Regions from separate parts of the Mus musculus genome. Here region 2 is reported to be linked to region 1. The links are microRNA targets in miRTarBase. Many come from high-throughput screens and were not tested one by one. Region 1 holds a microRNA gene; the other region holds the end of a gene's coding sequence.
Evidence for each region. Region 1 holds the annotated microRNA mmu-miR-344d-3p (GAUAUAACCACUGCCAGACUGA, at 2,111-2,132, shown strand). A microRNA usually pairs through its seed, bases 2 to 8, with sites in the 3' UTR of a target mRNA and lowers its output. Matches are read on the target gene's strand: a 7mer-m8 pairs with bases 2 to 8, a 7mer-A1 pairs with bases 2 to 7 and ends in A, and an 8mer does both.

Region 2: the mRNA of Fzd5 is a reported target of mmu-miR-344d-3p. The part of its 3' UTR that is shown has no 7-base or 8-base seed match.

What each region holds. Positions count from the first base shown.
Region 1 is chr7:61,725,187-61,728,387 of GRCm38, reverse strand. Mir344d-3 (microRNA 344d-3) reads left to right here and starts at 2,060; the gene lies at 2,060-2,139. All of the region lies in intron 6 of A230057D06Rik (RIKEN cDNA A230057D06 gene), which reads left to right.
Region 2 is chr1:64,732,387-64,735,386 of GRCm38, forward strand. It overlaps Fzd5 (frizzled class receptor 5), which reads right to left. Exons shown (of 2, transcript NM_022721.3): 2 at 1-3,000. The coding sequence ends at 2,457. Among named protein-coding and RNA genes, the nearest start is that of Fzd5, 3.9 kb to the right of the region's middle.

The DNA of each region.
Region 1 (3,201 bases):
TCTATGGCAGTTCCTGGAAAACACAGAAGTAGATGCTCACAGTCAGCTATTGGATGGAGCACAGGGCCCCCAATGGAGAAGCTAGGGAAAACACCCAAGGAGCTGAAGGGGTCTGCAACCCTATAGGTGGAACAACAATATGAACTAACCAGTACCCACAGAGCTAGTGTCTCTAGCATAGTATTTTATGTATACTGTCCCTCCTCAATTCATCTACTTTCAAATTTTTTCTGCTTTCTTCTGGGAACCTAGGGAGGGAGAAGTGAGGTATAAATAAGCAGCACTAATGGAGATCTCCAAGTTTTCTGCATGCTTTGATGTTCATGCCTAGTTATATGATCTCCTTCTTGGTTGTATCTTATTATTCCATTCTTTGTTTGGATGAATGTACCCCATCAATCAGAAACAAAGATAGAAAGAGACAATAAATTTGTCTGCAAGAAAAGATTTTATCAGTCAAGCTTCTGGCTATATTTCAGGACTTATCTGGTCCTGGGTATAACCAAAGCCTGCTTGTTTGCTATTAAAGAAATTTAAGAGTGTTTCTGTAACTGACAGAAGATGGAGTCAGTAGACAGTTGCAAGGATAGCTCTTGTTTTTTTTCAGAGCCTCCATTACATGACATGATTCCTTGTCTCTATACAGGGAATGTCACCACATGTGAAATTCAGGTATAAGCTTTTGGTGTCCATTCCTTGCCTTAGTCAGTTTGGGTCATGTCTTCTGCAAAGAAGATACAAGATTAAGCTTCAGCTTATGAGGGAGACTAGCAAATTTTTGACATTTTCATAACTTTAGGTCAGACACTGTGAGAAATGCTGTGGTAGCAAATGACCTCAATATACCATCATGATATTTCTGAAATAATCTTGAGTTAAATAAGAGACAAAGATACTACCATACTCAGAAAATATTCACCCTTTCGGCAGTGATGCTGACAGCATGTTCTTATTAATGGTAAAAAAATAAAATAAAACTTTCAATTATTCAACCCTTGTTTATATTGGTGTTTTATGTTCAATATAGAAGAATCTCTAGCATTTTTGTTCTTCCAAGTCAGTTCATTAATAACTACATGATCTAGGGGGTCATGAGCACTTTAGGAAAACCAATTCATCATCCATCTCCTGAACATCTCCATTTTTATATTATATGCAATACAAAAAAGAAATAAACACAATAGTTTTCATGGGGACCTTTTACTAGTGGCTTTCTCGAGACCTATATTTATTTCAGTTATTTCTACTCTGTCTTTAGCATCCAGGTCTCTGTGGTATAACCTTGATATTTACTAAATGTAGTATTTTCATTCAGATATTCCTAACAGTAGTAAACAATTTGCAACTATATGTAAATCAAAAAAATTATGTCTTCTTTATAAGCACAGTTTAAAATTTCCTACATACTATGTATTGTTGGAATTATCCAAAGTATATGAACAGTATTTTCAACTCTAGTTTTCCTCTTAATATTGTGCATATCTATGAGACACTTCACTGTCACTTATAAATTGAGTACTGGTGGAGCAGGATATAGGAAGAATATTGCACTTAGTATTCCAAAACCACTTTGATGATACCCTATTAAATATTGTTGTAATAGGAAAGGCTATAATCAGAGAAAACAACATAATCAATCACTGAGGGAGACATAGGCACATCACAATTATTCAGCAGGCAACAAAAAAGCCCAAAATGAAAGAGAGGTATTCTGGCAAACTCTCTGGATCTAAATAGAAGGAACCAAAAATAGGAAGTGCTCTGCTCAAAGGTTCTACTGACGTTTTTTTTTGTTGGTAATATAGTAAGAAGAATGTAAAAAACAGCTTTTTCTGATATCTTTTTATCAATATTTCTGCTTTCTTAAGGGAAGTCAGGGTGGAAGGGTTGGGGCATGAATCAGCAGCACTGATGAGATCACCATGGTAACAGCAGGATTTGATGTGCATGCCTAGTTATAAAATCTCTTTCCTGATTGGATCTGATGCCATTCTCTATTTGAATACACATTCTCCATCAATCAGAAGCAAGGAGAGCAAATAAATTTGTTTGCAGGGGAAGATTTCATCAGTCAGGCTAGTGGTTATACTCCAGGACTTATCTGGTCCTGGATATAACCACTGCCAGACTGAATGGTGCTAAAGAGAAGGGAGAGTGGAGAGTGCTGTGTCACTGTCAGCAGACAGAGCCAGTGGTAAGCTGGGAAGCCTGTGCTTATTTATTTCAGTCTCCATGCACTGGTTGCTTAACTCCATGTTTCATATCGTAGCTGTCACCCCCCTATGGGAAATTCAGGTATTTGATTTGAAATGTTACTTCCTTGTTTCATGTTGAGCTGTGTCTTCTGAAAATAAAATACAAAATTCAAGCTACAGCTTGTGACAGAGACTAGGTAATATCTCGCATCTTCACATCTTTCATTCAGCTACTGAGAGAAATCCTTTGGCAGTAAATATTCTCAACTAATCACCATGAACACTCAGAAAAATCCAGAGTCATATCATATAGTACCCAGAATCAAAGTACTCTTCGGAGAGTGATTCTTTTAACCTACTGCCATTGTTCGCAAAAGGCATCCATAGGTACAACCATAGTTTAGAGTGTTGTTATTGTTTTAATTCATTAGATTGTCTAGGTGGTCATTTTTCCAAGTCTGGCTTTTGCTACATCACAGTTCACGGGGGGTCAGGAGCCCTTTAAGGGAATCACAAGATCATATTTTGCTGACCTCTATCTTGGTATTACAGCATGTAAAAGAAGAAAATGAAGACAGTTATTTTCATAGTGACCTTGTACTAGTGGATACCTCTAGACCTATATGCTTTTCTGGTCATTTGCATTCTGTCTTTAGTGATCCAGTTTTTGTGGTATAACCTAGATATTTATGAAATTCTCTTACTGTGGTGAAGATATTCCTGACAGTCTTAAATGCCTTATAACTATACATGCATCAGAAAATATCCTGGCACCTTACAACCCCATTAATTGTACCAAATACATCATATAAACATTGTTTTTAGCACTGAATTCCACCACATAGTGTGGAATTATATGAGACACTCCAGCATTTCATACAAACTAAGTATGCTTGGAGAAATCCATGGGCAGAATGTGGCACTATAATTCTAAAAGCTCTCTTATGCTTACAATATTAGATATTACATTTTCTAAGAAATTCTATAATCAGAGTTTACAACAGAA
Region 2 (3,000 bases), not on the chromosome of region 1:
CTGGCTAGAAACTCCTGTTGGCTTCAGGGAAGCAGGTGCGCTTTGTCTCTCTAAGGGTAAGGGAGAGGGGAGCAGAGGACAGAAAACTCCAGGCCTCTGAAGCTCCATCCAAAGGCATTCCCGGCCTCCAGCTCTAGCATTGCGCCCACTTCAACTGCTGTATTGTTCAAAGGGTATTATTAATCATTCTTTTTTTTTACAGCTTTGGCATGTTGCTTAGATGGAAAAAAATAATCATTCTAAAAAAGATGAATTAAATCACTTTCATCCGCTCCACCCCACAACTTTTAGATACACTGTATGTCCAATTCTCGATTTTCTTTGTGAGAGAGGAACAACCCTAACTATGCACAGCAGACTGAGGGGGGGTGGGTGGGGAGGGAGCAGCAGATTCTGGGAAGACCATGCTAAACAAGGCAAGAGGGCAAGGTGATAAGAAAAGAACCTCATTTGAAAAACAGAAGTGGTGCATAGCCAGTGAGTGTGTTGAGGTTCCCGGAAGGAAAAGGGCATCGGAATAAGACCTTCACAGAGTCCTGCATCTAGGTGTACAAGGTCTTGTGGAAGCCACTGAAATTCTAATTCTGACTCCAGTGAGCGAGGGCAGAGTATTTTACAAATGTGAACACCCTCTGACTGCTTACATTCCCAGTGGGAACTACGCTTTTTTCCACTCAGTCCCTGGGGCATAAAGCTGGCTCAGGCTTAACTCTCCCTACCCCCAACCCACCCCCCAGCTGCTGCAAAAGAAAATCGGGATGCCTAGACTCCAGCTGTTTCTCTAGGAAAGCTTGGTGACATTTCAGTGGCTTGGCCATTTTAGATCCCTAAATTCAGTCCCCGCTCTGCCTTGGTCACTGGTACGCCCTGCCATTTCCTTCCCAGTAATGGCCCCACACTCTTAGTGAATGAATAGTTAAATAGATTAGGAAAGCAAACAGACTCTTCTAATAGCAGGGAAACTGGGTAAGGGGGTGTCCATCACTATACAGGCTCTCTCAAAAGGGGGGGGAAAGAAACCTGGTCTCTCCAGCAGTGGCTTTACACTTACAGTAGCCCCCATATTACAAAGCTTAAGTTAGGAGTCTTGTTGGTTTTCAGGCTACTAGGGCATGGTGTAGCTGCTTTGGGGAATATATCTATCTGGCTTTAAACCTTGAGTTCAGGGCCATTTGTTTTCCCCCTGAGCCAAGGTTTGTTCCCAGGTAACTAACCTCCCTCCCCCAGTCTGAGCACTTCATTGGTGGGTGGGTGTGGTTTCTAATCACCACTCTCCACCAGGAGGAATAAGAAAAGCAAGGAGGACTGTTTAACATGATAAAGGAGGTGGGCCGGAGCCGCAGATTCGAAGCAATGGGAATTTACTTTAATTACTGGAAGCATATCCGTTTTTTGTCCTTTAATCTAAAAGAGAGCCCCCTTTAGCAAAGAGTCCTAACTACTTCCAGAAAAAGGGAGTGAATTTATTTTTACTGAAATTTGTAGCCTAATTTTTTATTCTCAAAAGCTCGGGGGTGGGGGGTGGGGGTGGGGCTCTCTGGAGCATCTTAAGAGCCACCCTCTCCAGCAGAAGGCTCACCACCTCACTAGTTCAGAATTCACATTCAGCCAATCCCCATCCCTCAGGCTCCAAGGCAAATGTTTAGGTCCGCTCTATAATGCCTCCTCTAACTTATTCAAGACACGACAAGGGCGGCTGGCTCTATCGGGGATGAGAAAGATGGCAGCTCGGCTGCCAAGAGCCCAACGCTTGCTGAGCAAGGTTAAGGAGGCTCACAAAACTCTAACCTTATCATGTGAGGGATGGTCCTAACCACATCATGGTCTACTTTCACAGAGGACTTGAGGGGGCTAGACACAGAAAGAGCAGATGGCCTCTGGCCTCTAAGTGTCCTGGACATTTTAAGCACTGTAAGAAGAAACTACCTTAAAACACACACACACACACACACACACACACACACTCCACACCTTCCCACTCACAGCAGCCTTTCACTGTTCACATTTATAAAAAAAAAAAAAAAAGACACGTATAGGAAATATATTTTCCTAATTTAGACCACACAGTCCAAAAAAACCTGAACCAACAGTAACCTCATTACAATGCCAATTTGAGGATTATGTAGCCCCCAAAGCAAAGGTAAATTTTGTTGCCAAAATGCAACAAAGTTAAAACTTAAAATACATATAAATTAAAAACAAGGTACTTCTAAAGAAAGCAGTAAGAAATGCAAACTAGAATACACTTAACCCACTGCCCTGCGAGCCGAGCCCCCTGTAGAAGACTGGGGACAGGTAATCTCTTGAAACCGCCCCCTTTTCCTCTCCAAGCCACTCTGGGAGGGGGCATCAGCACCAAGAAGGTAAACGGAAGTGACCTTCACAAAGCTACCAAGCGAAACAACTGCCCCCTTCAACTTCCAGCACTGTCCCTGGGCCTCGGCCTCCAGGCCTTCCTATACGTGCGACAGGGACACTTGCTTGTGGTATGCGGCGGTGGGGCCAGGCGGCCCGGTCCTGCCGGTGAGCGCGGCGCTGGCCTCCGCATAGTCTCCTGCGGCCATAGCGCCACCGCTCTTGTGGCCCCGCCGAGAGCTGCAGCAGCAGCGGCTGGTGAACCGCCGCCAAGACTCCAGAGTCTTGCCGGACCAGATCCAGACTCCCGACGTGATGCCCACCACCAGGCACATGAAGTACTTGAGCATGAGCACCCAGTACTCGGGTTTGGCGCGTGGCTGGCCAGCGTCCGGTCCCGGACACGCGCAGGTGAGGGCTGCCTCCCAGCTCTCCCGGTAGTGCTGCTCATACAGGTAGCAGGCCACCACGATGCTGGCTGGCACCGTGTAGAGCAGGGTGAAGATGCCGATGCGGATCATGAGCTTCTCTAGCTTGTCCGTCTTAGTGCCACCCTGCTTGATGACGCTCCGGATGCGGAAGAGTGACACGAAGCCTGCCAGAAGGAAGAGCGTGCCCACCAACAGGTACAGCACCAGTGGGCCC